Arabidopsis thaliana: one gene and its partners. The protein of the gene in region 2 binds, or shares a complex with, the protein of the main gene of each other region. Each region holds a gene or a part of one and is shown on either strand. Other genes may lie near its edges.

Region 1 (8,905 bases), on a different chromosome or scaffold from region 2:
CAGTTTGATTAATATTTTTCTTAAACTCAAGAAAAAACTGAATCAAACCCAAATTGAAACCCCAGCTTTAAAACACTCCTAAAATAACCTATAAACAAGAATTACCAAAATTAAAACATCTAGAAGAAAAATTATCAGTTTTGTCTCGTTTTTTATTCACAGAAGTGAATCTAAAGCACAAACTCTAATTCTTAATCTCCGTTTTTTTGTAGACGATTTGAAACGTCTGTACACAAACATATGTATATCAACACTGACATGTTTCGTAAATCCAACTTTGTGATCAGCTATTAGTGTATTCTTACCCATTTTTTCTTTTTAAGTTTTTCTCTTGTTCTCCAATTTCTTTCTTCTGATACAGAGAGAATTGAGCCTTCTAAGATGCGGCATTTGCGGGTTGCTAGTCAAGAGTAGAGTCAAATACCATTTCCTGCAGAACAAACGGATCCTCTCAGACATATCCCGGGAATTAAAATGAATTTGTAAACAAGCTAAATTGGAACTACTCATTATTTACGGTTTACTTAGAGATTAGAGTTTTTCGACATACACCAAAGAGAAGTGAATAAAAGAATGTACCTTGTTGCAGACGGGGCAGGTTTCACTTCTCTCCATCCATTCTAGAATGCATGCAAGGTGAAAATGGTGATCACATTTGGCTACAAGTTTCGGGTTCTCGATATCATATTCTGAATCAAAAGCACAGACAATATAATAAATAACCCATTCTCGCAGTCATGTAAGGTACGATTATGTTTATATGTTTTTGAGATGTGGGAAAGGCAAACAAGCTTTTACCTTCCAAACATATGGGACAATCCTCCTCTTCCTCTATTGGTATAAAAACAGCTTTTGATAGCTTCGGGTCTATTTCTTCAGTAGATTCAAGATCAATCTCTGTTTGGATTTTGCTATCTGTCTCTTTATGTGAGCATGTAGTTGGAACCCCGAGAGTAATACCATCAACTGTTTCTTGAGCAGACTCGGTATTAGCAGAGTCCACCGAAACCTCTCTTATATCAACACAAGTAGCCTCTTCACCACTAGCTGGTGTTTGAGGAATCCCTATAGGCACATCGAAAGGGGTAGGCAGTGGCGGTGGTATATAAGCATCAGGAGATGATGTCTCTAAGTTTGTGTCTACTACTACAACACCAGTAGAGATTGCAGAGGAAGTCCTGTTATGAGCGGAAGATAAAGGCACACGCTCTTCTGTTGCCCTTGGGTACTGCAAAATACAAGTCATAAAACAAGTTATATTCCCATATGAATCTCGAAGCCCGTTGGGGCTTTTAACTCATTTAGTGTCCTGAAGCACATCAAGATTGATTTATTTGCAGCCTATCAAAGCAAGGACACCCAAAAAAAACGAGGAAGTGGGAGAAGTATCAGACTAACGTAGTAGTACGCAGGTCCATTATCTACATCAGCTCTTCGTGAAGAAGAACAACAACAGCAACCTCCCATCTCTTCTTCTCTTTTTTTTTTTTTCTGTTTTACAAAAACTACAAAACCCGAAGACTCTTCATCTATGCTAACCTACAAGATATGTGAAGAAACAAATTACATTCTGAGATCAGTAGGAGAATATTTATCATCTATATGCAAGAAACTCAAACAAGCTTTATCGTTTTCGATATCAGTTTGAGCTGTCTACTAAAGTCTGATCAGACTCATCATGCTAGTAGCAACAATAAAACAATTCAGCTACTAACAGTTCAAATTCACTCTCAATAATCAAAGATACAATAAACATCAACCATTAAAATCGAGACAACAGTGTTGCGACTACAAGCCTATGTGAATCTCCTACAATTCTCATTCTCTTTAGCACCATCTACACACAATTGCAATAAATTCAAATCAGTTTTACACTAAACCCCAAAAACTTAAAACAATTCTACTCAGAATTTAACTCCAACACAAACAATGAATCCACAAAAAGAACCAAAGCTCCATTAAGAGCAAGCTAATCCGTAAAACCCTAAACCGAAACTTATAAAAGCAACAATAAACATCAGAATTCTCAGAATCTAGCATAAACACATAGGAGAAATACGGATCAAAACAGTAAAAAAAAAACCCACAGAATTTCACACAAAAATCAAGCTCAAAACCTAAAGAAAAGCGATCACTAGCAAGAACAAACACCAAAGAAGAACCGATCATCTTCTCGAGATTGAATCAGAGAAGAGGAATTAAAAATCTCAAAATCATAGAGAGAATTTTACTTTTTGTTCTTGGGGGAAGCTTTTTTTGTTTTGTCTTCGTCTTTCTCTGCTTCTGTGCTTTTTGCGGTGCTGTGTTTATCGTGCGCTCTATCAAAATGACTTTCCTAAGAAATTACAAAGACTCTTTTTGGGCTCAATATTATATTTACTTACCTGATTTATTAAATTCATTAATACAATTATTAATTAGCTGATTAATTATTTTATTTTTTCCGTTACAATGTATTTTTCAAAATTTCAATAATGAAATTACATAACTGAAAATCGGCTGAAAAGTGTCGACCAAAAAATTATAAATTGGGAAGTACCATTTTCAGTAAAATTATTACTATTTTTTTTCCGGCAAATAATTTATCGATGTTTAAAAAAGAAACATGGGCTCAAACTTAAGAATAAAGCCCATTTAAAGAATCCTATTAAAAGCCCATATTTGATCTGTTACTGCAGCCTTTATATATGAATCGTGTTCTTACGTTTCTGCTTAACAATTTCCTTCCTCCGCTTCAAACGAGTCACCGACTCGACACAGGAATCCGAATTCGCCGGAGACGCAGCTTGCTTCGTTGAATAGCTTACAACGGGAAATTACCACGAAGACGGTTGTATATTCCCTCCGTCGTACAATTTAGGTTATGTGCGAATTCACAAATTGAAAATACAAGAGAAACAATCCCTAAAATCGATTTGATTAAGAGGAGCGAAAAGAAGAAAATCAATATGGGAAACGGTAATGGTCTCGAATCTCGATCGTACTGAGTTTTGATTCGTTTATTGAATTATCCGGTGAAAAGAGTATGCTAATACTGGGGAAAATGTTGATGTTTAGATGAAAGAAAACGACCTACAAAGAAGATGAAGTACGGTGGGAAGGTTCGTGTTGATTCTTCTCCACATGACTTTTTTTATTTATTAGGCTCTTCACTTCTAGTTAGTGTAATTGTACTGTAAAAATCTCAGGATGATCAAAAGATGAAGAACATACAAAACGTTGAAGATTACTATGATGATGCTGATGAGGATTCTCGTGATGGTAATATTGATTACTCTCGTATAATTAACATAGATACATTGGGAACAAAATTGAAATAGAATTTATAATGGTTTTTAAAGGTGAAGGAGAGGAGAAGAGGAGAGATTTTACTGATTTGGAGTTGAAGCCGGATCATGGAAATAGGCCTTTGTGGGCTTGTGCTGATGGAAAGATTTTCTTGGAGACATTTTCTCCTCTCTATAAACAAGCTTATGACTTTCTTATCGCCATTGCTGAACCCGTTTGCAGGTTTGATTTTGATTTGATTATTATATCAATGTACAAGTTATGATTTTTGTTGTTGATTTTCATTCATTTGTTACTATTTCAGGCCTGAGTCAATGCACGAGTATAATTTAACCCCACACTCGTTGTATGCTGCTGTTTCCGTTGGTCTTGAGACAGAAACTATCATCTCTGTTTTGAATAAGCTATCTAAGACCAAGCTACCCGGGGAGATCATTGATTTCATCCATGCTTCTACTGCTAATTATGGGAAAGTGAAGTTGGTATTGAAGAAAAATCGGTATTTTATTGAATCACCATTCCCGGAGGTAAGTTCACCAGACTGATCCTCTTTCTCTAGTTATGCGTATGGGATTTTTGTGTAGTTTCTCTGTTGGTTTTGCTCACTCGTTAAATATAAACAATCTTAGGTGTTGAAAAGGCTTCTCAGTGATGATGTCATAAATCGAGCAAGATTTACTTCTGAGGTATGTTGAACTCCTCAATTTAGTGCTTTATGTTTACTATTACTGGATGGAAATACATACCATGATCTGTTGTTCTCAACAGTTTTTGCATCTTTTGATACCAATGCGGCAGAGAGATCTATCCTGATTCTCTTGGGGCTATTGGTTTCGTGTTTAAATTCTAATTTTTTCTTGAACTATTTAATAGATAAATAAACTCATTATCCTTCTTTTTAAACTCCTTGGTTCATTGAATGTGAAATTGATATCTCTTATACCATTGTATTCTCCACAGTATGTTGAACCAACTTATTAACTTTTTTTCTAGCCATATTATGGTGGTGATGGATTTACGATCGGCAAAACAAGTGGTGAACTTGAAGCAGGACCTGGGGAGTTGTTGAATGAAGCAGAATTGGCAGCAGCAGCAGAAGAGAAAGAAACTCACTCATTTGAGATAGACCCTGCACTGGTAAATTTCCCCTAATGCTTCTGAAATAAATCGTGTTGATGACTTTGTTAATGTTATATGATCTTTACTCAACTCACGGTGTCATGTTCTTCTGCTCTTGGTGTGTAGGTGGAGAATGTTAAGCAGCGTTGCTTGCCAAATGCCTTGAATTACCCTATGTTAGAGGAATATGACTTCAGGAACGATAATGTGAGAAATAATTATCACACTTCAGGTCAATTTTTACTTATCAGATGATATGAACTGGATGTTCGTGATTGTTAATAACTTGATGGTGTCTGTCAGGTTAATCCTGATCTTGACATGGAACTGAAGCCCCATGCACAACCAAGGCCATACCAGGAAAAAAGTTTGAGCAAAATGTTTGGAAACGGTAATACGATATAACTGTCTACGCCCGCATTTATTTTCCTTAGTAATTTGTTTACAGCGACTGCTAAATTGATTGTGAACTTCTCTTAGATATATAGATTTGTACTTTCATACACTGTTCTGATCTAGCTTCATTGTGAACTTCTAATAGATAAGTATCTTTGTTATTTCTCCTGAAAGCTTGTGACTGATCTAGACTCCTGATTCTGCAGGACGAGCAAGATCTGGGATTATAGTGTTACCTTGTGGAGCTGGTAAATCTCTAGTTGGTGTTTCTGCAGCGGCTCGTATAAAGAAGAGTTGTCTTTGTTTGGCAACGAATGCTGTCTCGGTGGATCAATGGGCCTACCAATTTAAGTTGTGGTCTACTATAAAAGATGACCAAATATGCCGTTTCACTTCTGATAGTAAAGAACGATTCCGTGGAAATGCTGGTGTTGTTGTGACAACCTATAATATGATTGCCTTTGGTGGTAAACGATCTGAAGAAGCAGAGAAGATTATAGAAGAAATGAGAAACAGAGAGTGGGGGTTGCTGCTTATGGACGAGGTAATCAAATTGTTCTTAGTGTGATGTGCCTTTGAATTGAAGTTAGTGTTTACTGGTAGTTTACATTGCGGAAAAGTTATATGTGGTTCATTTAGAATGTGTATCCACTATCCAGTGTTACTGGGATCTACAAATAACAAGTTTCCATCCAATGCGTGACATTTTAAGAGTTATGTTTTTCATAGGTGCATGTGGTTCCAGCCCATATGTTTAGGAAAGTTATCAGTATTACAAAATCTCACTGCAAGCTAGGACTTACAGGTAAATGAAAAATTCATTTTCACATACCTTTTTATTTGTTATACTTCAGTTGCAGAAGCTAAGTCTCTTTTTTGGTCTTTTGTTCAGCCACCCTTGTGAGAGAAGACGAAAAAATTACAGATTTAAACTTCCTCATTGGCCCGAAACTCTATGAAGCCAATTGGCTAGATTTAGTTAAAGGAGGCTTTATTGCAAATGTTCAGTGTGCTGAAGTATGGTGTCCCATGACCAAAGAGTTTTTTGCAGAATATCTGAAGAAAGAGAACTCGAAAAAAAAACAGGTTAATGCGTCTAAGCTTTCTCCGCATTGATCTTTGTTTTCCTTGGATATTTTTACTGGATAAAGATCTTAAAATAATTGACTATCTTATTTTATGTTTGTTTGTTTTGATACACTAGAGTCCATGAATTTGATGTAGTCTAGAACCTTATAATATGGTAAACATCAATATTATAGGTTATTTGTGTATGTCTTATAATTTGGCAAATGCTTCTAATAGATCACCCTGTAATAGAAACTAGGAAACCCCTTCAATTGTTCTGACATTTACATATCTTGTCTTCTGGTGTCTGCAGGCGCTTTATGTCATGAACCCTAACAAGTTCAGAGCCTGTGAATTTTTGATACGTTTCCATGAACAACAACGTGGGGATAAAATCATCGTCTTTGCAGACAATCTTTTTGCACTTACAGAGTATGCAATGAAACTCCGGAAACCGATGATTTACGGTGCAACCAGGTTCGTTAAAGAACCACCTATTGAGAGCACAATTTTGTATGTTTCACTCAGTTTCCAATCTGATAGTTCTCTTTGTTCAATATGTAGCCATATCGAACGAACAAAAATTCTCGAGGCGTTTAAAACCAGTAAAACCGTGAACACTGTATTCCTGTCAAAGGTATTAGCGTTGTTTCCTTTCCATTGACCTGGGAATATATAGAGACTTGTTCATTCCATTTTCATCAAGTAACTTAGTTTCGGTTTCTTTTATTGACTACAGGTTGGTGATAACTCCATAGATATCCCTGAAGCGAATGTGATCATCCAGATTTCGTCACATGCTGGTTCTAGACGTCAAGAGGCTCAACGTTTGGGTCGTATCCTTAGGGCTAAGGTGTGATTTTAAGTATTATAACTCATCACATTTTGCGTCTCTCCTAGAGTTCCTCTTGGTTGTTGGATCCAACACGTTTTATTTCTCCGTGATCAAAAACAGGGTAAACTTGAAGATAGAATGGCTGGTGGAAAAGAAGAGTACAATGCATTCTTCTACTCGCTTGTTTCTACCGATACACAGGTAAATCACTTTATTGTTGAAGTAGCCATAAAAACTGAAATTCATCAGACCAAATCAGAACCAAAATATAATTCAGTTCTAGTCCGCACTCGTTTCCAAAACACAGAAAAAATTTTGCTTTCCAGAACCCGTGACTTGAATTCCTGAACCGATAAAAATCGAATGACTGATTGAATGGAGAATGACTGATGTAAGGATCGTGAATGTTGAAATGCAGGAAATGTATTATTCAACGAAAAGACAGCAGTTTTTGATCGACCAAGGTTATAGCTTCAAGGTAATAACAAGCCTCCCACCTCCGGACGCGGGTTCAAGCTTGGGCTACCACAGTCAAGAAGAACAGTTGTCTCTTCTCGGAAAGGTGTTGAATGCTGGAGACGATATGGTTGGTTTAGAACAACTTGAAGAAGACACAGATGGAAAGGCTCTAAAGACGCGACGAAGCATGGGATCGATGAGTGCAATGTCCGGTGCAAATGGAAGGGTCTACATGGAATACAACTCAGGTCGTCAAAAATCTGGTAACCAATCCAAGAAACCTAAAGACCCAACCAAACGACACAATATCTTCAAAAAACGTTATGTTTGAGACAAGAGAACTCATATTCGGCTATATGTTTTGAGTTGTAACTTTGGTGCAAATTTGTTTCAGGCACAAAATCAAGAAAACCTAAACGAAGACACCCTACCTTAAAAGACCGTTAACATTTGATATTTGTTTTATTATGTGAATTGATTAATTGATATTAGAAAGTTCTTTCCTTTTTTTTGATATTTGTTTTCTAGCATATCATGATATCGCCTCGAGAATACCTTTGAAAATTATTTTGTTATTGTCAACTGTCATGATATCTCGCTGAACCAACATATAAAACACGATTATAATTTGGTTGACAGATCCTGAACAACAGTAAAACGTACTTAGTTTTCGAGGTTAAAAAATAATTACTTGTCATGATTTCGAATTAAAAATAATAATGGGCTCAATTTGAGATTAAAGAAAGCCCACGCTAAAAGAGGCCTACTAAATGCCCATATTGGATCCGTTATTGTAGCCTTTCTATATATGAATCGAGTTTGCATTTCTGCTATAACGTTCTCTGCATTCACATGATCACATCAACTCAGTAACGGACTCGACATACCCGGACCTGGACCCGACACCGAATCCGAATCATAATGCGACGGAGACGCAGCTCGCTTCTCGGTCTAGCTTACAACGGAAAATATTTACGGTACCGTTTGTTTTCCCTCTGTCGTAGAATTTCTGTCTTCGACACCGGATTGATATAATCGATTGAAAAGACAAGAGATAATGTCTAAAATTGATTCGATGAAGAGAAAAAGATCAATATGGGGAACGATAAAAGTCTCGATCTTACTGATTTTGGTTAATTTTCATATTACCCTGCAAAAAAAAGTATTGTCAATTCTGGGGAATTTTGTTGTTCAGGTGAAAGATGAAGAAGACCCGACTCTGTGTGTTTTTTCTTTTAAGTGTCGTACTGATGAAGAAGATCTGGGTCAATTAGTCATCCGTTATGGCCCAGTTGTTAAGATGTTATCCAAATCGTAAGAAGAAGGCCCGACATGTTTTTGAGACGTTGGTAAGAAGAAGGTCTTGCTTCTTTTGTGCATCCAGATAATGTCTATATGACCAAGGTAAGAGCATCCTCATTGCACATCCTCCAATGAATGTCTTTCATATTAAATAATATTAAATTTAAAGACCCTCTCTCTTTTGACAGGTAAAATGTCTACTATTAAGACACATCCATTTATTATTTTCCACTTTTTTAAGTAGTTTAAAAGTTTAAAGACACCCATAAAAGATATGCAATGAGGATGCTCTAAGGGACCGAGATTATATACTGCTGCAGATGGGGTAATGTAATGCTATTTGTCTTGTGCAGGAGCGTTGGATGTACATTGGTCTCCTCTTGGTTCATACTTTGTGTCACTTGAGAAGGAGAAGAACGTGGCAACTCTTTGGGCATT
Region 2 (8,320 bases):
GAAAAATAAATGCTAAATATACATGAAGATGTGAAAAACTTGTTGGATTTGTGGAATCGCTAATGACCAAGGTTAAATGGCGGGATCCAAAATCCGGTTAGATTTCAAAATGTCATATTAATTTAGTATTTATAAAAAAAAAGAAAAATAAAAAAGAGTTGAAAACTTTTAAAAATCAAAACTTTGAGAAATATATTTTGTTTTGAAAAATCAAAAGTATAAAAACCTTTTTTGTAATTAAACTATCTATAAGATTATAGATTATAAACAAAATAGGGATGAAAATTGACCTGACCGAATGGGATGATGCATTGTCTCTGTAGAATTATCCGTCTTTCACACGCTACGATATCACAGATGAAAAAAGCTCCGAAGTTGCAACCACATCTACATACAAAGAAGAAATAATTGATTAGAAGGAATCTTGAATAAAAATCAAAAACTTTGAGAAATATATGATTAGGGTTAGAGCTAGGGAAATAATATAAGACCTAAAATTCAAATTGGATTAGACGAAACCCACTTTAAACATGAGAATTCTTTGTTTTGCGATCAACCAGAATACAGTAATTAGATACCATATAAAAAAAAGACGTTATTTGGCCAAAAATTCCAACAAGACGAAAAGTACCTTTTGAGAACAGAGTGTTGGAGTCGGTGCAAGTTGATTTGATCTCTTGACGATAGCCTTTGCTTTTGCTTCTGATCTTCATCCCCAAAAAAAAACAAAAATCGATCGTTTGTTTTGTTTTATGAATTAAACACAGTAAAATTGATGAAAGAGTAGAGTAAAATTCACGGTTGATCAGTGATCTGGGTAGAAGAAAGAGACGAGAGAAATAGAAAAAACGAAGAACGGTTTTACGATGAGAGAAAGAGAGGAAAGTGCTATCGAATGGATCTCTGACTCTGGATTTGTATTTATAAACAGTATTTCTGAACTTCTAATGGAAACCTACAAAAAGAATGAAAGCTTTATTACGGAGGAACGGAAAAAGGAAACTTGGCCGAGAGAGACGAAAATACCTAAATACCCCCCTTGGGAAAAAGGAAAATTTGGCTCAAGAGAGGAAATTCCCTAAATAGTCTTCGGGAAAAAGGAAATCTGGTTTCTCGCACGTTGAAAAATTAGCCTGCGTAATAACGGCTAGTGGGTGAGCTGGAACTCCAACTGTTGGGCTTTGCAAGTGCCCAATGGGCTTCGACAGTTTTTGAGGCGGTTATTGGAGACAGGTGATTGGGTCGTCGCACTAACTCTGCCAATTTCAATTCCACTTCTACTGCTTGGTTAAATTTATTTAATCATTCTTTAAGATTTTTTTTTTTTAGTGGTATGTTTGATAGATTTAACAAGGAGCCGACGAAGTATTTCTTGATCTAAAATGATGTAATGAGTGAATATGATAATCTAGTTATCTTAACATTAAGCATAAATTTTGCTAATTTCAATAGATTTAAAACCAAAACGAAACTTTTACGAGCCTTAAATTTCAATTCGATTCTTGAAAATCATCAAGAAAAAGAACAAAATACCTACAGTGAAAATTTTTGCTACAACAATTTTTGATTGACCTAAACCAAAAAATAACAAACAAACTGATTTACTAATAAGCCATGTCTTGCACACCAGTCTCAGCCATCTTCTCCAAATCTTCTTGTGTCAACAGAGTTTTCCTTCCCATTGTACCCGCCTTATCATACGGTTGAGCCATTTTCCGAAGAAACTGCAAAAAAAACAAAAACCAGGAAAATTGTTGATTCTTTATGCCTTGTTGTTTGTTTCACTGTGAGTTATAAAAAAGCAGCGAGTTATAGGTTTACCTCTCGAGCAATGTGAATAGCCATATCAGTGCTTAGATTCAAGTGTGCATCACGCAGATGCGAAAGTATCCAACCAGGTAGTTTGGACCGCTTATCATGACGGCTGTATCTGCAAGTTTTACCATCAATTGCAGTGTATTGTTAGACCATAGAAATGTGACATTATAAACCAACATAAGCATATATCTGTGTCTCTCTTCTGTCCTACGAATATTTTCCCATTCCTAAGGAACAGTGTGAACTCTGTTACAATCTTCTATTCTCGAGGTGATCTCAGATACTTGCGCATATACTTATTATCATACTAGATAGATTATAGAGAGAATCCCATTTAGTAAAATAGCAAGAATCTAAATGACCAGACTCAGAGAGAGAAAACTTAAGGCGGGCATGTACCTTTTGTCTGCAAATATCATCATCCCATAATCAGCCTTTGACCGGATTACTCGCCCTACACATTGAGCTGCTTGCCTCTGTGTTAAAGCCAAAAAGAGTTAACAACAGTCACAAACAGGTAAAAGAGTTGCACACCAAAATCTAATAAGATCATAAAATAAGAATCATACCAAGGCATCAAAAGTTAGGAAATCGCCTTCTTTTATTTGAAATGTATCGTGCAAATACTCCAATCTTGCTCGTAATATCCTGAAATTTTTCCCGTTTCCATCTTATCATCTCCCAAGTACGATGAAATATAAAAGCAGAAAACCGGAAATTGAAATGATAAACATTCATTTGAGTACAACTTACTTGCTTAATGTATACTGGAATGGTACTCCGTACATTACAACCAGTCTTCCATAATGACGATCAAAATCGATACCTTCAGCAACTTTCCCCCTGCAGTTCAAATACAAAATTTGATCACTTTCTTTGAAATTTCTCAAAAGTGAAACCTCTTTAATATTTGTTAACCAACCAAGAATAGGAGAGAAGAGACAATTCCAGTATTATAATACAGAAACAAAGAAGCAGAACCAAAGACGCATTGCAATGAATTCCCAAACCATCTACCATTCAAAAATAAAAATTTTACCTGGCCACAGAGAAGAAAACTGCACCTCTTCCGCAATCGCAAGCCCTGCGATAATTATCCAGTGCCAATGTTGTTTCTACAACATCTTGTGTTTCAATGAAAACAAGCTTCTGTTGCATTATTTCCTACAAACATTAAGAGAATTGGTAATATCAGTAAACAAATATACATTAATGCCTGAAGCAACTAAAAATATTTTGAGGTATCATAAAAATTCCAATTCATGCAAAACTCTGAAAAAATTACTGGCATGGTAAAGCGATGAAGAAGACCTTACCTTCAGAATTCCAGTTTCATTCCATGTAGCAATAATGCCATCCATATATGAGTAACTAACAAAGAAGCAGACAACTCCATCAGGAACAATAGATACCATCTCTACCAAAAGCTTTCCGTAATTCCTCACAACACCAGGATCACTTCTCATGTCAAATTTGGTGCTAACAGGAAGCTGATCACTGAAAAAGAAAACAACCAATAATGTCAAGACATATAAAATTAAAAAATAAGTTAAGTGTTCAGGATTCTTTTTATATACCACATACCTTCCCCGAGTTAGAACCATAGGGCAGATGCAGTCTCGTGTCATTGACATCTTAAAGCTTCGACTAACAACAGGAGTGAAATTAAGAAGACGGGGGTAAAGATCAATTGGGCTCAATGTGCCTGATGTAATCACGACTGACTGGAAACGATCAAACACCGGTTTGATCGCCAGAGACGCATCATGACAGCTCAACTAAGATACAAAAGGATATATGTTTCAGATACAATTCTCAATTATTCAAACGGTAGCATTTACGTGTGAGTCATAATCCCTTAAAATCCCAGTGACAATACTCAAAAGAAAGTAGGTCAACACCATATTTACCTGCAATATAGGATCTGGAATATGGGGCATTCTCTCGTCATAAGGCTCGATGATGATGGAAAATCCCCGGGCATATGTCCCAACAAGAGTTGCAAAGTCGCACACTGTCTGGATAGGCAAAAACTCATCTGTATCTGTAATTTCAAGGGTTAGCATGAGAGACTGGAGCCGGTCATAACAGAACTTCAGTGTTTTCTGCTCAATTCCAGCCTGAGAATTCAGTGACGATACAAAGCTAACAGGGCTTTCTTTCTCTACATTCTCAGTGTCCAGCCGTACCCCCAAGTACTGAAGTAATCGGCGTAAAACATGCACAAAATGCTCAGCCCGTCTAATATTCCCCGGGACAGCCTCCTTTAGAATATCATGAGGCAGTGCAGGGTTTGCAAGCCATTGATCACCTCCTGCAAAAAAAAAATTGTTGCGTCAAGTTCATAGAATTAGAAAATTTACTGTGTGCTTTCAATCAAATCACAGATCACCTTCCTGAACACATACTTACCAGATAAGTCCCCTCTCAGTGCTAAACCCTCAACCAGCCGGTTGTATTCAGCTCGCAATCTTCCTGCATCAGTAGCCTTGAACCTTCCTACCAGTTGGACAATTTCAATAATGTAATAAGAACTTAAAAATAAGCATCAGCAAATAACCAGGTCACTTCCTGTATTGAACCAAGAAAATTATGCTTCATGTGTTTAAGATGATGACAAAAGCGTTTGTAAATTTTTGTTCCCCTTACAGTTCTTTGACAAAAAGCAGTCTCATAAAACCAGATTATTTTCTTACTAACTTAAACTTCCTTAAGAAAACCAACAATTAGCAACTGGAGTGAGCAGACACCCAGATGGCATTCAAGAACAATCAGGAAATTCAATTGAAAAAGAAAAGACCCTATCACTGTGTTTATTGTTGTATTAAGAGTGGCACGTTCAAGAGAACTTAAGGAGTATCAGCTATATAGGAAAAAATTAGCGTACCTATCAATTTCTTGCCTTATCTTATTAAGATTTCGATTAGCTCCTTCAAGTGTAACCCTCCTCACACTGACGCTGAGTGCTTCAATACACACGTTATCGATATTATGGGCCTCGTCAAACACTACAACTGACTCTTTTTGTAACTCCTTTGATATGAACCCAGCAACCTTAGGATCCAGTAGGTATTGGTAGCTGTAAACAATAACGTTGGCGAACTGAATCATATGCCTCGCGAGAAAGTAAGGGCACCATCCACGATTCTTACCAAACGCCCTTAGATCCTAAAAATCGAAACACACATATACCATCAGGCAAAATGTGCAAGTAACCTCGAAATAAGCATTCCAACTAAAACATAAACTTGATCAAACAACAAATGTGAAAAACCTTAACTTTTTTAATCTTACCTCTAAAGTATAAACACCAGGAGGCAACAACGCATTCTCAGCAGCCTTTTCATAGTTCTCAAAGAAGTCACAGAGTTCTACATTTGGATTCTCCGTGGACAAAGCCCTAACCCAGCTAGCAGTTCGTTTCCTACAGGCCGCATCAACAGAATCACGATTCTCGGCTGCTAAAACCTTAGTATTAACGCAAAGATTCTTCCGAGAGGAAAGACCAAGGGCGAGGATCTTAGCCTGGGTGCCGAGATGGCGTACTTGGTAGTCATGTAGTAGCTTAAGCTCACCTAACGTTTTCTCCATCTCGTGGACAGTACGAGTACAGTAAACAAGCTTGATCGGAGAATCAGGACGAGAGAGTCGATAGCTGGTGATTAGAGAGAGAAGAGCAATGGTTTTACCAGTTCCGGTAGGCATCTCGAGAAGACAATGTCCCTTAGCGTCTAGGGCTCGCTTCAATTCAACCATGTATTCATATTGTTCTGGATATATGTTGTCATAAGGGAAGTAGACAGTTACGTCTTCGATTTTAAAGATCATCTTCTTCCTCCTACCTAGAAATCGAAATTGGCATTAGAACTAACAAAACCCTAAAAAACTCGAATTCACTTTAGCAAAACAAGCGATTCAAGTTGGAGTAGATAAACCCGAACAACGAGAAAGAAGGAACAATTGAGATCAAGCGAAGAGAAGATAACAGGAGAAAACTTACAGGTGATAATGGAAGCTTCGATGTGTTATCAACGACTGAGAGAGGAACCGGTAGCAGCTTCAAGGTAGAAGAAGAAGAAGAAGAAGAAGAAGAAGAAAATTTTGCGTCTGTGTTTGCCGAAGTAACCAGAGCAAACAGAAGAGGAGGACTCTTATTAGAAAAACTTAAAGCTTTGTTTCTTTTTCATTCTGACCCCCTATTTATTTATTTTAATGCGTTTGACCCCCTAACTTTATGTATATTAAACTTCTCGACAAAATTAGGTTTTTAAATGTTAACAATTCGTCCAAAAATATAAAATAGTTGAACAATCCTGATTTTGTTAAAACAACAGAGTATTAGAGTATGCAGTAGTAGTAGTACAATGTCATCTCAAGATTTGGAATTGTTTCAACAATGCTGGTTTTTTTCTAAAATTTGCAACAGGGTTTAGTTACAACAATAGAGAGATACAAACAAACTCTAAAGTCTTATTCTTCAACTGGTTGATGGAAAGCTAATCCCTTTATCACATGTCGACATTGATACCTGCAATGACACAGTAAGGCATGGTCAAGAACTTGTTTAGTGTGTAACTGGAGAATTGTGAATAAGAGAAGTACCATATTAGATCATTTGTGGGAGGAGAATTTGTTGCATTGTCTTGCGTTCTGCACTTGAATCTCAACTTTGAAGGCACAAACTGCAATAATAAAAGATGTTTGCAGGTGACGGAAAATCGGAATGTTGTACATGGATGTGTGAAATAGAATTAGCAGAGAAGTGTATACCTTTCTGTTGTATCTGAAGTCACGTTTAGGAAGGAAATGTTGTGGAAGATTCAAAGTAGGTGGAGCATGAACCAATATGAAGAGCCTCATTGGACCTGCAACTCAGAAGAAGGGAAAAAAATCATTACACCATAATTCACAACAATGCTAAAGAAGTTTGCAATTTATGCAAAAGTTACCTGGGTAGGAAGTTGATCCAGCACCCGTCGAGATCAGTGCTCGGATAGTCTGTAAAGCCAAGAGTGAAGGGCTCAACCATTTTTGACTTATCACAGCAGATAAAATTGAAAAGAGACAAATCACAAGCAACATGAAAACAGAGGTAAGAAAAAGAATAAACCTTTTTTGAAAGTGCTTCTGCAGCTTTGGATTTAGCAAAGTCACCTTCGTAGCCTAGAACATGGTCTCTGCGTTGTGTGAATAACAACTCATAAGCATTTTGAGGCCGTAATGGACTACCACCAAGAATCAACACAACTTTCTGAATGCCAGGAGCTTCACGGATCATTAACTGCAGCGCACTTCGGAGACTAGAGATGGTTTTCATCAGTTTCTCCAGTTTCTTAATCTCATTCTTCACCTCTCTCTTTCTACTCATCAGTTTTCTTCTAACCAGTGGTTTCACTTGAGGTTCTGCAAGATTCGTCTCCTACAACCTAAGATTCTTAGAGTGTGAAAAAGACCTTAGACCTTAAAGTGAAAATGGCGTCTGTAGGACTAACATACCAAATCCATAAATTCAGTTTGCAATCCTTCAAATTCAAGGCTCATGTCTTGTAATACCCTGCACAGATGTAAATAACCAACAACAGTCATATTGGTAGAAGGAGCTTTGTGTAGCCAAAACCAAAGCTGCAAATTGAAGTTTCTGGTTTTCAGTAAAACACTCATAGTGGATACAACAGACTTAATTCTAAAACCAAAAGGAAGTAGTGTGCACAATTGCGTAGAGCTTTTCAATTTCTCCTAGAATTGAACATAACTCACCTACCAGGAATTAATCACTAATCCATCCAGAATCCATAAATTCATAACCACGAAACTATTTTTCTTCTGATAAATTCGTAACCAACAGACTAATCGGAGAAATTAACGGAGAGATTGAAGAACAAACAAATAGATACATCATCACCAGATCGAAGGATACATCGAAGCATAGAGATACGAAGATAGGAAGAGATAACATACGAAGGGATCTGCTGGTGCATATAGAGGACGAATCCGACTATGTCATTGATGATATGGAAGACGCCGGAGCCGCCTAATGAAGAAGCGGTGGTCGCGATGTCTACGTCGTAGTTCTCCTCTGTAGTTCCTTCCCCTTCCGCCATTTCCATCGTGAATCGAAAATTGGAAACCTTGTGACTGTATGTATGTGTTGCTGAAGAAATTTGAAAAAAAGTCAGTAGGCGGGTGAGAGAAGACGAAGAAGAGAAAAACAGATCCTTCCAGAGAAGAAAATCACCCAACAAAAGTGGAAACTAGAAACGATGCAAATGACAAATTAACCCGATAGAAACTGAGAATAACAAATCAACCCCTATACTTTATTAATTTCAAAAGCTAAGCTTTGATTTATTACCAAAGTACCCTGAAGTTGGACCAATAAGCGGTGGCGAGTGGTTGGGCCGTATAGAGGGGACTAAAATGCCTTCCTTCACGTTATTTGAGAATCATAATTGGATCCAGCTTCGGCCCAATTTTCTACTTTATAACATTTTCCACAATTTGA
Region 3 (7,715 bases), on a different chromosome or scaffold from region 2:
AAACACAAAGATCCTTAAATGTAGATACCGGATCCAAACTTGAACAACATGCTATTGAAGAATCTCTCTCGAAAAAATGACCAAAACTTGTTTTTTTATTTTGTTTTTTTCCAAGGAACCAAAAATCTAGGAAAACAAAATGTTAATCCAAACTATTTTCATTTTATATGATATTTACTCAAAAAAGAAAAAGACCAAAACCATGTTTTCTGTCCATATATTGGTTACAACTTGCAAACCCATGTCGTTATGCTATTTTACACAATCTTAATATTACTAAAATGCTAGTAGTGAAAAACAATAAAGGCTTAGTGATTCCAAAAAATAGCACGCTTGGCATATTCTATGAGTTCATTCATCCAATTCACCAAACAACTATCGTAAACCAATCTATTTACTATTAGGTGTCATGAACTTCTCGTTTTGGAGGCACAACCTATCCTTTTTCAAATAAATAATAGTCCCAAAAGCTATAAACCCCACCATTGTCTATTGCATTACATATTTTGGATATTTTATACAAATATCTACAGTAGTTTCAAAATATATAATCAATACAGGATGTCTACAAAGGGTTAGTAGCGATATAGCATCAACCAAAAATAAAGCCATAGCGCTATAATCTTTTTTTGTAGGAATGTAAAATTGTATTCATCCAAAACATGTTTTACAATTGAATGCCACATAGAGAGCTGATAACAGAAAGAAAGAGTGTATACTCCTATAAGAAACTAGAGTATTAGGAATTGATTTTCAGTGTTAAATGCATCTTTTATCTTTTCACTTGAAACTAGTTTGAATTTCGGTATGTGTTATACGGAAATGGAGATTATGCATCTATTGGAACTATGTTACCTCAATCTTCTGAGCTTTACAATGTTCACATACTTAATCTTCTAAAATACTACTATATTGATAATTCGATATCTAATACTCTCCTTAACTAATCTAGACTACAAAAATCAAAGAATAAATTGCGTATAATAAGAATCGACTTTTGAATCTACTGGGTTTATGCCAACCCTAATGCTATATTGGCAGATGTATGATGTAAACATTTAATTTAATACCAAGTTAAACTATATAAAAAAATTGAGTTAGCTTTAAGCTTTTTGCCAAGTGGAAAGTAAAAAATAGTGACGATGCTCGATCAATTGTATAATTGTAATAAGCACTCTAGCTGCAGCTATAAATACCCTACTAAGTCTCTCATCTATCTTCACTATCTTTTGTGATAAGAAATTCTATTATCAATTCCTATCATTTGTTAAGAAAAAGAGTTAGAAGTATTAATAATCTTACAATATTTATAGATAAGATAACAACAATATGAAGCATTCTCACGTTTTGCTTCTTCTATTTGTTCAAGTCATTGTCCTTTTGCCTCTCCTTTGTCTATCCGACGATTTTGTTAACTCTAGAGCTACTTATTATGGCAGCCCCGATTGCAAAGCAAATCCTCGTACGTATTAAAATTGTTATTGCTATATACATCGTGTACCTTAATTCTTTTTCATTTTCTTAGTTGTTGTATAGACTTGTACACGTTATATATTGGTAAAAGATACATTGGTGTAATATCTCACTATAAGCCATAACTAATTATTTTTGTTTTATATCTACGTATAGGTTTCTTGTTTTGTTTTATTTTGAAGGTTTATTCAAATTCTAAATACATATATGATTGAAAACGAGTCCACTAAGTGTCCATTAACTGCGTAATTAGTAATGATAACTTTCCATTATGAGAATATACATAATATTTGTCGAAAGAATAAGAATAATTAATTAATTTTTTGATGATGCAGGGGGACATTGTGGGTATGGAGAATTTGGAAGAGATATCAATAACGGTGAAGTGAGTGGTGTTTCATGGCGACTATGGAACAATGGAACTGGCTGTGGTGCTTGTTACCAGGTTATTATATATAGTTATCTACTTATCTCAATCAATATTTCATCAAATATTATTATAGTATATGCTATGTCATTAATTACTAAACTTATATTATGAAAGAAAAAAAAACTTATTTTATGAATTATAAAAAGGTGAGGTGCAAGATACCACCACACTGCAGTGAGGAAGGAGTATACGTAGTGGCTACGGACTCCGGAGAAGGAGATGGCACGGACTTCATCTTAAGCCCTAAGGCGTACGGACGTATGGCGCGACCCGGCACAGAAAATCAGCTCTACTCCTTCGGTGTAGTCAACGTTGAGTACCAAAGGATCCCTTGCCGATACGCAGGGTATAATCTGGTGTATAAGATCCATGAGAAAAGCTACAATCCTCATTATCTTGCCATCCTTGTCTTGTACGTTGGTGGTGTTAATGACATCCTCGCCGTTGAAGTCTGGCAGGTAAATTTAATCAAAGATGTTGAGAAACTTAGATATATGTTTTTGAGGATCAAAATATATAGTTTACTCTTAGATGATTTTGTGAAACAAAGTTAAACGTTATTATATGGTATGCATGTATATGTATGATTTTAGGAGGATTGCAAAGAGTGGAGACGTATGAGAAGAGTGTTTGGAGCGGTTCATGATTTGCAGAATCCACCTAGAGGCACTCTCACATTGAGGTTCTTAGTCTACGGAAGCGCAGGAATCAATTGGATCCAATCGCCAAACGCTATTCCCGCTGATTGGACTGCCGGAGCCACCTACGACTCCAACATTCTACTTACTTAATTGATTCACTTTTCATCAGTGTGTTTTTATCATATAGTATTTATTATGGTTTCTGTATGCAATGGCTAATATATTTAAATAATGCCCTCTAGGACAATATAATTAATGATGATAATATAAATAATCGTAGTAGATTCATATATAATTTATGTATTGTGTCTCACTAAGAAGATTGTAATGGTTTGTATGAGTTTGATTTTGATGGAATAAATCAGTACTAATCAATTTATCAGATGATGATCAAACGTTTCGTAAGCTTTTTTTGTTTACATTTTGGTCAGTCAAGCATATATCTCTCCCTAATCAACCATTTTCATGAAAACAAATTGGCGCGATTTTTGTTATATAGATAGGCCCATTAGTAGTATTCACAAGGCCCATTAAAACTTAATTTATCTTGGCCATCCTCTTCGATCGATTTCGTCAGTTTTCTTTGATTCTGGGTAGTAAATAATCGGGATCAATTGTAGAAGAGCTCATCGAGAAAAGAGAGAACCTAAACTTTAAATTCAATTCTGTATTGTTCTCAAACTCGAACCCGAAACTTTAAATCCTTCCTTATTTGTTTTCTGGAGTTCTTGTTTAGAACTGTTTTGGATTTGTTTTTTTTGAGGAGATGCTTTAGTTAACTAGGTTTGCTTCGAGCTGATCGCTGTGTGGCATAAACCCTAATTTCGTGGAAACTGTGCTCTTTTAGAACCGGTCCAGTGAGTAAGGGAATCCAATTGGTGAAGATGCCGCAAGTTAAGATCATTGCTAAAAATTTCATGGACATGGTGGCGTCACTTCCAGCCATCAAGCTTGACAAACTCTACAACAATGTCTTTATCTGCGAAGCCATTCTCAGGTTAATTTATGTGTCTATGTTGTTGAATTTTGAAAAAATTGAGGATCTTACATTCTTAAGATGGTGTCAGGTCTTTGCCGCCTCTTGCCAAGAAGTATGTATTGCAGATGTTGTACATTGATGTTCCTGTACCTGCTACGATGATGGAGGAGTGGGTGCTCGCAGATGGCACCTCTAAACATAGAGTTGCTATTGATCGACTGATTCAATTAAGGATTTTTTCAGAAATTAGTGATAGGTATGCATTCTTGCTTTATTCTTGATACTGTCATGATTTGACTTATTTCAGTTAGTTCAATACTTCTGTCTATTCACGTTGGAGGGTTTATTTGATATATTTATTTAAAAGAGTGATGGTGGATGTTAACTTGAGCATTGAACCCTATGAGCTTCATCTTATACTTCAATTTACTGTGTTTGGATTGATTATGATTGTATGTGGCAAGATGATAGTTCAGATTTAGTTCTTAAGCTGCTCTTCGTACTTTTGCAGGAAAAGGGGAACCAGCTACAGCCTAAATCCTACATTTCAGAACAATCTTCAGAAACATATTATTTCCGGGTAAAGACATCTTTACATTGACGGTACTCTCCTTTTTCGTTTTTTCTCTAGGCTTTTGGAGAAGATGCTGATGAGCTAAATTTGAATTTTGCAGTGGAGTTTTGCCTAGAGAGCCTATGAACTCCGACAATGCCATTAAACTTCCAAGCCTACAAGAACTCGAAACCTATGCACTTAAGCAATGGGAGGTGTGTGTATTTCCTAATTTCTTATTGATAATACTAGTAAGGTGGAAGTAATTTGTAAAACAAATATCTTTTAATATGAACTTGGTTAGTATCTGATGATGTGTACTTATGTTTGTCAGTGTTTCTTGCTACAACTTATAAATTCGGGTCAAGGTGAAAAACTAACTGGCATCAGTTCATCCATGATGAAAATTTTTCAGCGAGGTTTATTGAGTCAGAGGTAATGTTTTCATACACGTCTATAGATGCATAGTGGTGGCATATAGCCTCCCTATTTGATACACTTCATGTAATATTGCAGAGACAAAGATGGCCCGAGATTAACTGAGAGTGGCTTTCAGTTTTTGGTATGCAAATCGTGAGTCAGTGGTCTATAATTACCTGTATTCATGTAAGTAACCTGATTGACCTCAATTTTCAGCTGATGGATACAAATGCCCAGCTTTGGTACATTATTCGAGAATACATATTGAATGCCGAGGTTTGTATTATTCCTAAGGTTTTGTGAAATTGATATCTCTATTTCGCCGAATGGATAACCCAATGCCAGTGTTTCTCAGGAGCGAGATGTAGATCCAGCAGACTTGATTTCGTTTTTGTTGGAGCTTAGTTTTCATGTTACTGGTCAGGTATAACAGAACTTCACAAAAAAGTCATTTCAAGCGTTCTTGTTCTTGTTTTTACTCTTACTTGATTTAGCGGGATGCTTGTTAATTATTTCGGTGAGCTTACACATTGCAGGCATATAACTTAAATACCTTGACAGAGGTTCAAAACAATACCCTCAAGGACCTTGCAGACTTGGGATTAGTCAAGCTTCAACAGGTTAGACTTAGACCATTTGTAATATTTTTTTTATTACCAAATATCAAAAGAAAAAAAACTTTGCTAAAGTTATGATTATAGAACTATATCACATGCTGAGCCAGTCTTTATGATTATTGAAGGGAAGGAAAGACAGTTGGTTTATTCCTACTAAACTGGCTACAAATTTATCAGTCAGTCTGGCAGATTCATCAGCGCGAAAAGAGGTCACACCTTTTTTATTCCCCTCTTGTCCCATATCTACCTGCTACCAACAATTTTCTTGATTTTGTGTATCGCTGTTGTTTGTTGTTCCTCATCAGGGATTTGTCGTGATGGAAACAAACTTCAGAATGTATGCGTACTCCACATCTAAGTTACAGTGTGAAATTTTACGACTATTTGCGAGGTAGAAGCTCCTGAACATCGACCTGAAACTTTACTCTTCTGTGTCTTAAAATCCTTTAGGTCTAAGTAGTTGGTGCTTCATTATTTCCAGGATAGAGTACCAACTTCCAAACCTTATTGCTTGTGCCATTACAAAGGAAAGTTTGTACAATGCATTTGACAATGGCATCACATCAGATCAGGTACAGTTGGTTTCAGTTGAAAAACATTTTGAAGTTATCGAATACATGATTTTGCCCGGATCCTCACTGTCCTTGAAATGTTGATCAAATTGTTGATGCGTCTCTTTATAGTTTCTGAATAAATATTTTTTCCTTTTCTTTTGATTGTCACAGATTATAACTTTCCTCCAGCAGAATTCTCATCCACGATGTGCTGATCGAGTCCCATCTATTCCAGAAAATGTCACTGATCAGGTTTATACTCTCTATGCCCATCAAGTGTCGATTATACAAAAATGTGTATAGGATTGGTTTATAGAATTGAAAGTGTATACTATCTCTACGTCCTGATTCATCAGGCTTATGTTGAATAAAAATGCATTGTTCTGGCAGATTCGGCTTTGGGAGACAGATCTGCAGAGAATTGAGATGACCCAGGCTCACTTCTATGATGAATTTCCTTCAAAAGTAACAAACCTGAACCCTCTTATTATTTTCTCTTCTCCATAACGCAAAACCGTTATAGTAAATCTCATTAACCAAAATCATGTTAGCAGGATGTGTTTGAGGCAGCTTGTGACTTTGCTCGGGAATGGAGAGGCCTTCTTTGGGAAGACTCTAAGAGAATGCGACTTGTTGTGAAATCCGAAGTTCACAATCAGATGCGTGAGTTTCTTCATACCCAAAGCAGGTAACAAGAAGAAACTCACATTTTCTTCTCGTATTAAAACAAAACATCATGCTTCGATTCTACAAACTATGTCTTTCGTGAGGTTTCAGCAGAAAGAGAAAAAAGAGTAGCCATTTGATGTCTTGTTACTCTATTAGTTACCATCGTTTTTATCCTGCTAACACATGCGCACCCCAAACGTAGGAAAAGTACTTGGTGTTGGTACCCACGAAGTTGAAAGTTGAAACCTTTAAGCTGTAAGACCGATCCATTGTAAATCACAATATACTTTATTAGGCGAAGTTAAGTTTGAAACAACATATATTGACAAAACGTGGTCGTTGGGGATGGTCCAACCAGGGTCACCTCTATAATTTCTTGTACGCTAGACAGAACACAATCTCGGTTTTGATTCTATTCAGTTGACCAAATTTCAAAATTATTAAAACCTCAGCAAATGCGAGGCTACAATCTCAGTTTAATCAACTAAGAGGATGTATTCAGAGACGCTGAATCTATTCTGTGTCAACATGAAGACAAGATCTGACTTCATTTTGCTTGAGATTTTTCGTTGGCTGAGGACTCTGAATCCTGGATCTTATCTCCCATGTTTGCATCTGTAGTCACATTTGCATTTCCACGTGCCCGAGCGAGTTTCTCAGCTTCTTCAATCTTTCGTATAGCTTCCTGTTGTGTTGCGTTCATCATTGTCCCCATCGTTTTCTTCTCTCCTTCGAGCTGAATTTCCATTATGGTACTAGCATGCTTGTCTATCGGTTTGAAGTAGTCTTCAATTTGAGCCTCCTGTATTGGTAAAAGACCCAAAACATACTTAGACTTATATTCTCCTAACACGAACAAAAGTAGAACAAAAGACTCTCTGATTTATGGAACACAGACTCTGGCACTGATTTCACTCTTTTCTTCCAAAAATTTCTGCTTTCAAATATCTCAAACGCCAAAAACTAAAAGCGTTTTCTCTTCTATGAATGCTTTCGAACCAAAAGCACTTCGAAGGAAACAATATCTCAAACATTTTTCACCACACTTAATATATATAATTGATATTAAACAAGTGATAAACTCAACCATTTGCAAACTTTGGACTGAGGATAAAGACAAGAGAGACTAACCGTATTCTCAATCTGCTTATTCAAATTCTGCATCTCCTCAACCATACGGCGGACTTCAGATAATACAATCTGCTCTGGAAGTCTGTTTATCTCTACTTTCCTTTGGTTAGCCTGCAGGACCAGAGGTTTGATCAGATAAAAAGGTAACCATGAGGTCCATGACCAACCCAAGCTAGAAGCTAGAAGTCACAAGTACAGAAGTCTATACGATTAGGAAACTATAATGTAAGGAAGATCTTATTTCAGCA
Region 4 (6,280 bases), 5.5 Mb from region 2:
CCAATGCATTAGATGTTAGAACAGTTAGCACGATCGCACTCATCCGATTCTGAGAAGATGAAAACGAACATAACAATATTATCATCAGGCTATGAATCTGAAAACAGAAGCTAATGCCATCAATATCGAAAAATAGGAATATAAGAGACTAATTTTGGAATCAACCTTAGAAGCAATGAGCTCAATCAACTGCATTAAAAATTCTCCTAGTCCCTTTCCTTGAACCCGGGATTCCAGCTGTATTTCATACACATAAAGGACAGGTATCTCTTCCTCTAAAATAAACCGGTAATGCACAAATCCAGCTATCTGATTACACCCTTCCATGCAAGTTCTTTGAGTAGATGTCTCATAGGCTTTACCAAAACGCAGCTCACGCACAAAGATATAATGTGCATCAGCGGAAGACATCTCCTTACGCTTCACCTTTGCTTGTATAGGCCAATCAGACCCATAGAACCCTTCCATGTTCGTCTGTGAATGGTAAAAAAATTTGAGTACAACAATAAATCTAGAATAAATTTCTAAGAAAGTATGTTCAGAAAATTTAATGATACTTCATTCTCTTTAATACCTTCAAGAGTTTTTGAATGTGATGTTTCACAGACGAGGAAAGTCTATCTCCACGGCCAGATTCCAGGTACAAAGATAAGTCTACAAGACGTAAGAACAACACATACACAGAATTAGCTAACCATCAAGACTCTTCTGTGAACTTAAAACGAAACAAGTAAGCACTGAAAACAAAATTCACACAAACATTATCATAACTAACTAACAACTAATCAGAGCACACTAGATCATAGGTTACCAAAGTCTGCATGAGTAAGGGATTCACAGATAATTAAATCCATGTTAAAAAGCACGAATTCCAACTAACACTACATCTACTTCATAATGTAGTAACATTAGGAATTGTAAAAGTAAGTTTATATGCATCAAATCATTGTCAATGATAATCAGTTCGCATAAACAAAATCCCATATTTTTGAGAAACTGGCGAAAATAAAATTGAGCAGAAGAACAAATTTACCGTTTCTTCGGTAACGGCGGAAAGAATCAAACGGAGAAAGAGGATCGTCAATGGAAGAAGCTCTTTTTATAAGGTCATGAATCGTCTTTTTCTTCTCCAAAATCTGCACGACAATTCTCAATTATCGATTTCGAACAAAATCAAAGATCGAAATTTCGAGTGCTATGAAACATACACATTACTTCCGAGATTTTTTTTACCTTTCGCCGTTTCTTCAAATCCATTGCTCGCCACACCGATGATTCTCTTCCCTCTGTCTCGTTCGTTCTCCACGTCTGAAGTGATTCGGTAGGAGACGGATCCATCAAACGGGTTTGGACCCGAAATAGATCCGACAATAATAAATGACGTCAGCCCAAATGTCGTATTCGTTCAAATTCGATAGAGAAGCCCAACTTTCTATATGGACTATTAGAGGCCTTTTTGTTTTGTTTGCTCAAGTCAACGGGTACTATCTCAAGGAAAAAAAAAGAGTCAAAAACTTTGCAAAATTGATTTCACTTTGATATATGGTATAAAAATTATCGAAAATGAACGCAAAGACACAATTAAACAAAGTTTGCAGTTTCTCTCTGGCACAAAAGATGATTTTAGGTACTAGGAGCTTTTCTCTTCTTATCAGAGGCAGATGAAGCATCATCAAGTTTAGACTGACCAAATACAGACCTGCAAATTTCCAAAAGCTTTTCGATATTAGTATCAAACAACATGATAGATTGTTATCTTGAGAAAGAACATGACGGGTCAAATCTCTTACCCGCAGGTTGAACATTTCTTGTGATGCTCACAGAAAATGGACAGACACACTGAGCATATGTAGCCCATATCTATTGTCTTCTTGTGGCAAAAGCACCTGCAAATTTTGTACTTAAAACCATCTGTTATATATGCAGAGGAAGACCCGATTAATTGAAGAGTTAATGACTTGATCACTTACGATGCGCGAAAATCTACACCTATGGGTTTAGGAAGTTGTACAAAACCGCGGGAGTGCAAATCGGTTGCAAAGATTGTCTTTTGTGCAAAACAAAACAATCCAGAGTTAGCAGCCATTGAGTATTGAGTTCGCTAAATGAGAGACGAGTCACATAATGGTTTGCGTTTGGACTTGAGTTGCGTACCGTTAGATATTGAAATAGCCCATCCAACTGTTTAGGTGTATGATGTACACCACCAGTTATATAAGATGCCTACAAATAAGCCAGGAGATAACAGCTGACGCATAGGTCCAGTTTGACGAGTTAGAATCATGTATAAAGGAGAAATGATATTACCTGCTGCAAAAATGCTGAGTTCTGTACACCTATGTAACACGAATCAATGGGAACCTAAAGAACCAATTGATGAAGTGATTTGGGTACATGATACTGGATTTAGAGAACATCAAGAACCGGAAATCCCAAAGAACCAATCAAAATGAAGATTACCATCAAGCGTTGGGCAGAGAAGATAGAGTTCATAACAGCAACATACCTGAAAGAATGACAAAACCTTTTAATGAGACCAGACAAACAAGACAAAATCTTGCAAGTAGAAAAAAAATGAAGGAAGAAACATACTGTTCCGGGCCATCTGGGGAACCTTGCAAGCATAAAATCTGTATTTCATATAAACGTCAATAGCACAATCAGTTCTGTATTTTGGGGGTATACGATAGAACAGATAACACATAAGAAAAAGGAGTCTATATTCTCATTAATACTTTAAGCTGAAGATTCATACAAAGCAATCAACATGAAAAGTTTTATCCAAGACAACTGATTGATACATATATCCTACTGAACACTCACCCGAGGCTGGGGATGAAGATGTCCAGAACGGAAAACCCTCTGTATATCTAGAGCCATAAATTAAGTCAACAACAAAATGTGAAGACTGAAAATCAAATACATATATTACCAGATAACATTGATGGCCTTAGACATGCTATAGGTTTAGCTGAGAACAAACATGTCAACCTAAAATGTTCCTTACTTAACCCAGTCTAGAGAGAAAGCTAAGCTTCAAGATCACTGCCAGAACTTATGCAAACAAATCCTAATAGTTTGTACTATATATAGCTTCAAGAAACCTATCATGATGCTATATGCTTTTCCAAGAGGATACAGCAAAGAGCCATGGAGAGTGATCCTGACAAGAGACAAGAAGGTATTCTATCCTCAGACACTTCCTCCTTGCTGAGCTCCTCATCTTTGGTAACAAACTCTTCCAATTTCTTAAGCAAAGAACCAAAAATTGCAGGCATTCCAGTTCCATTGCTCTCGAAATTTCCATGATTTGATGTCAAAGACGAATCATAAATGTAATCACAAGAACTGTATCCAGTAGCTATAACTACAACTTGGTTCAACTGATTTAACCCCAAAACCGCATTAAGAAACGCAAGCACCTACACATAACAGCAGCAAGCTTTCTGCATAAAAATCGAAGCATTGAACAAACAAACAATAGATTCGTTAGAGACACTTACATGAGAAAGGAACTGAGAGAAGGTAATCGATGTAGTGCTCCAGAAAAGAGGATTCGTATCAAGCAACAAAACTAGAAGACTAACATCGTCTGCGACCAAAAAAACAATCACGAGCCAATCAGACTTGTTTCCAGTTTTTGGGATATCTAATCTACATACTTATACGATTGAGGAATGTGAGGGTTTCGAAGTAAGAGGAATTTAATAATAACCTGAATACTGCTTAGAAGCAATGGCAGGCATAGTTTCACAGACGATTCCAAGTCAGAATTTCAGTGTGCCGGGAAATCTTCCCGGTGGGAACGAGATCTGATAATGCTATTTCAGTGCCGGGAAATCGTTTTTTTTTTCTTCTCCAATATATCTTCACAACAGGTCTTTGAGTTTTCCGATTACGAACCAGAGTTAAAGAATGAAATTCTCGGATGCTATAGTAACTTACTGAAAAATTCAAGGATTTTTAGCTTATACAGAAATCTGAAGTGATTTGGTAGGAGCCGGATCCATCAAACGGGTTTGGATCCGAATCAGATCCGACTATAAACGTCGTATCGTAAGCCGGGCTTACTAAGCCCAAATATGGCATTAGTTCAAATTTTTAGATAGGCCCAGTTTTCTTTATGAACTAAACCGCCTTTTACAAGGGCCTTTTGTTTTCTTTGTTCTTTCTTTTGGAAAAGAACACCAAAATCTCAAGGAACAAATTTATTTTTCAAACTGGCTACTGATACGAAATTCAGTTTATTCAAGCTTTATACTATCGGACGTCGATATATTAATTTTAATGGTAAAAAATTTTGGTTGAAATGTTGTTTGTTTCAATACTAAAAATTAGTAAATTCACACATGTCCTGATATCCAATCCATCCTATGAAACTATAGTCATGTTTGGAGATCGTCTTGATATATAATACATGGGGCATAAAAAGCTTACTACATTTTTTTGGGAGTAACAACTAACAAATAAACAAACAAGTTTTTTGGTTGGAAAAAGAAGCAAATCACATTCATAAAGGTTTGATTGACTTCATATAATTTGATTGTTATTCATTTGATTGACTTCATATTATTTTTATTCAGTATTCTTTGGATATATACGCGCATGACAATCGACATGCTAAATACTTGTAATCCGTAGGGTCATGTGTGACTGTCCACTAAGAATCTGAAGATCTAATCATAGTTTTTACTAAAATCATATTAATAATTAACTTGGCAATATTAATGGCGATGGCCATTGGAAAGCTTTTGCATGATGGCCTAAATATAACTTATTGTTTGGTCATTTTCATTAGAAGTCCTTAGCCTCCGAGGTACATTGAACCTCACAAATTCACATTAAACTTTAAAATCTCCTATAGTTTAGTATATGAAAATTATATAACTAAATTCCACCAATGTCTTTATGAGTAAATAATAATCTTACTATCAAGTCAAATTAATATCACTAAAATAAATGTTTTGAAAGTATTATTATTTTTCAACAACAATGGATTATGTGTTTGAATGTGAAGATAACGATTCTGATAGGTAACACAAAGCTTTAAAGTTGTTTTAGCTGTAAATTAGAATGCAAAACTATATAAATAAGTAGTACAAAAAGTTAAAAATAACGTTTTTATAACGCTTTTGTAATTTGTAATATCACGGTACATGCTGTACCAAACTTTGATAATTGAGTTACCATTCAAAATCACTAAAACAAACTCTTTAAATGCATATAAATCTAATCATTAATGCAAAACGTTAAAAGTAACGCTTTTATAACGCCTTTGTAATTTGTAATTATCACGATACAGGCTGTAACAAACTTTGATAATTGAGTTACCATTCAAAATCACTAAAACAAACTCTTTAAATGTATATAAATCTAATCATTATTGCGTAGATTTATCTCAATATACACAAGCCACTATAGCCAGGTTCCGGGTAAGTAGGACAGATAGCAGTCCCATGCATTTAACCTCGTGCAAGATAAACATAAACGGTAGACACACTAGTTGCCATTTTTAGATACAACTCAACAAATAATAATTAAGATAAAGAACAAAAAAGAGTGATTAACATTTAATGGAAAGATTTATTAGCTTCCCAGGCTCCTCACTTAAATCCCACTCAAGTCTCCATATAAAAACTGCAACTTCCATCACTCTTCGATCACCATCATCACTCTCTCTCTCTCTCTTCTATTTCCATGGCTCTTGTTCGTAAACGCCGTCAAATCAACCTCCGTCTCCCTGTCCCACCGCTCTCTGTTCACCTCCCCTGGTTCTCCTTTGCCTCATCCACCGCCCCCGTCATCAACAACGGAATCTCAGCTTCCGATGTCGAGAAACTCCACGTTCTCGGAAGAGGAAGCAGCGGGATCGTATACAAAGTCCACCACAAAACCACGGGGGAGATATACGCTCTGAAATCAGTCAACGGCGACATGAGTCCTGCTTTCACAAGACAATTAGCGCGCGAGATGGAGATCCTCCGTCGCACGGATTCTCCTTATGTCGTCAGGTGTCAAGGGATCTTCGAGAAACCAATCGTCGGAGAGGTTTCGATCCTCATGGAGTATATGGACGGTGGAAACCTAGAATCTCTCCGCGGCGCCGTTACGGAGAAACAACTAGCGGGATTTTCCCGCCAGATTTTGAAAGGTTTAAGTTATCTCCACTCACTCAAGATCGTTCACAGAGACATCAAACCTGCGAATCTACTCTTAAACTCGAGAAACGAAGTTAAAATCGCTGATTTTGGAGTGAGCAAAATCATTACCCGATCGTTAG

What was found.
Region 1: UVH6 (region 2) and XPB2 share a complex: the UniProt entries of both Arabidopsis thaliana proteins name them as parts of the 7-subunit TFIIH core complex.
Region 3: UVH6 (region 2) and AT4G17020 share a complex: the UniProt entries of both Arabidopsis thaliana proteins name them as parts of the 7-subunit TFIIH core complex.
Region 4: UVH6 (region 2) and AT1G18340 share a complex: the UniProt entries of both Arabidopsis thaliana proteins name them as parts of the 7-subunit TFIIH core complex.

Annotation. Positions count from the first base shown.
Region 1 is NC_003076.8:16,541,626-16,550,530, forward strand, and holds XPB2 (homolog of Xeroderma pigmentosum complementation group B 2), read left to right. Parts: upstream 1-2,714; 5' UTR 2,715-2,948; coding exon 2,949-2,958; intron 2,959-3,057; coding exon 3,058-3,101; intron 3,102-3,188; coding exon 3,189-3,261; intron 3,262-3,341; coding exon 3,342-3,510; intron 3,511-3,592; coding exon 3,593-3,815; intron 3,816-3,917; coding exon 3,918-3,974; intron 3,975-4,281; coding exon 4,282-4,425; intron 4,426-4,533; coding exon 4,534-4,614; intron 4,615-4,710; coding exon 4,711-4,798; intron 4,799-5,009; coding exon 5,010-5,347; intron 5,348-5,532; coding exon 5,533-5,608; intron 5,609-5,695; coding exon 5,696-5,889; intron 5,890-6,184; coding exon 6,185-6,348; intron 6,349-6,435; coding exon 6,436-6,508; intron 6,509-6,610; coding exon 6,611-6,724; intron 6,725-6,826; coding exon 6,827-6,907; intron 6,908-7,124; coding exon 7,125-7,496; 3' UTR 7,497-7,559; coding exon of another isoform or gene 7,560-7,612; 3' UTR 7,613-7,702; downstream 7,703-8,905. Other genes in the region: AT5G41350 (RING/U-box superfamily protein), read right to left, coding at 401-430, 580-689, 799-1,228, 1,399-1,539, 1,761-1,763. UniProt on the Arabidopsis thaliana protein: ATP-dependent 3'-5' DNA helicase/translocase; binds dsDNA rather than ssDNA, unzipping it in a translocase rather than classical helicase activity. Component of the general transcription and DNA repair factor IIH (TFIIH) core complex.
Region 2 is NC_003070.9:773,148-781,467, reverse strand, and holds UVH6 (RAD3-like DNA-binding helicase protein), read right to left. Parts: upstream 5,942-8,320; 5' UTR 5,819-5,941; exon of another isoform or gene 5,661-5,818; 5' UTR 5,647-5,660; coding exon 5,113-5,646; intron 4,987-5,112; coding exon 4,706-4,986; intron 4,314-4,705; coding exon 4,231-4,313; intron 4,133-4,230; coding exon 3,729-4,132; intron 3,597-3,728; coding exon 3,403-3,596; intron 3,316-3,402; coding exon 3,135-3,315; intron 2,983-3,134; coding exon 2,858-2,982; intron 2,662-2,857; coding exon 2,572-2,661; intron 2,467-2,571; coding exon 2,388-2,466; intron 2,295-2,387; coding exon 2,218-2,294; intron 1,931-2,217; coding exon 1,822-1,930; intron 1,725-1,821; coding exon 1,605-1,724; 3' UTR 1,424-1,604; downstream 1-1,423. Other genes in the region: AT1G03200 (uncharacterized protein), read right to left, coding at 344-387, 632-713; AT1G03180 (non-structural protein), read right to left, coding at 6,289-6,346, 6,421-6,500, 6,589-6,683, 6,768-6,816, 6,929-7,237, 7,315-7,372, 7,777-7,925. UniProt on the Arabidopsis thaliana protein: ATP-dependent 5'-3' DNA helicase, component of the general transcription and DNA repair factor IIH (TFIIH) core complex, which is involved in general and transcription-coupled nucleotide excision repair (NER) of damaged DNA and, when complexed to CDK-activating kinase (CAK), involved in transcription by RNA polymerase II.
Region 3 is NC_003075.7:9,576,796-9,584,510, reverse strand, and holds AT4G17020 (transcription factor-like protein), read left to right. Parts: upstream 1-3,071; 5' UTR 3,072-3,428; coding exon 3,429-3,541; intron 3,542-3,611; coding exon 3,612-3,779; intron 3,780-4,034; coding exon 4,035-4,103; intron 4,104-4,197; coding exon 4,198-4,291; intron 4,292-4,410; coding exon 4,411-4,511; intron 4,512-4,592; coding exon 4,593-4,638; intron 4,639-4,712; coding exon 4,713-4,772; intron 4,773-4,851; coding exon 4,852-4,920; intron 4,921-5,032; coding exon 5,033-5,116; intron 5,117-5,238; coding exon 5,239-5,322; intron 5,323-5,418; coding exon 5,419-5,504; intron 5,505-5,594; coding exon 5,595-5,685; intron 5,686-5,838; coding exon 5,839-5,919; intron 5,920-6,057; coding exon 6,058-6,132; intron 6,133-6,221; coding exon 6,222-6,355; coding exon of another isoform or gene 6,356-6,359; exon of another isoform or gene 6,360-6,444; coding exon 6,445-6,538; coding exon of another isoform or gene 6,539-6,572; 3' UTR 6,573-6,636; downstream 6,637-7,715. Other genes in the region: EXLB1 (expansin-like B1), read left to right, coding at 1,330-1,462, 1,809-1,918, 2,050-2,361, 2,497-2,694; AT4G17010 (transcription factor IIIB), read right to left, coding at 6,884-7,138, 7,468-7,578. UniProt on the Arabidopsis thaliana protein: Component of the general transcription and DNA repair factor IIH (TFIIH) core complex, which is involved in general and transcription-coupled nucleotide excision repair (NER) of damaged DNA and, when complexed to CAK, in RNA transcription by RNA polymerase II.
Region 4 is NC_003070.9:6,309,989-6,316,268, forward strand, and holds AT1G18340 (basal transcription factor complex subunit-like protein), read right to left. Parts: upstream 3,944-6,280; 5' UTR 3,747-3,943; coding exon 3,716-3,746; intron 3,593-3,715; coding exon 3,504-3,592; intron 3,423-3,503; coding exon 3,140-3,422; intron 2,871-3,139; coding exon 2,824-2,870; intron 2,631-2,823; coding exon 2,593-2,630; intron 2,507-2,592; coding exon 2,461-2,506; intron 2,362-2,460; coding exon 2,308-2,361; intron 2,224-2,307; coding exon 2,155-2,223; intron 2,048-2,154; coding exon 1,971-2,047; intron 1,887-1,970; coding exon 1,791-1,886; intron 1,700-1,790; coding exon 1,624-1,699; 3' UTR 1,455-1,623; downstream 1-1,454. Other genes in the region: AT1G18335 (Acyl-CoA N-acyltransferases (NAT) superfamily protein), read right to left, coding at 1-49, 166-474, 575-654, 1,034-1,136, 1,234-1,338; MKK7 (MAP kinase kinase 7), read left to right, coding at 5,698-6,280. UniProt on the Arabidopsis thaliana protein: Component of the general transcription and DNA repair factor IIH (TFIIH) core complex, which is involved in general and transcription-coupled nucleotide excision repair (NER) of damaged DNA and, when complexed to CAK, in RNA transcription by RNA polymerase II.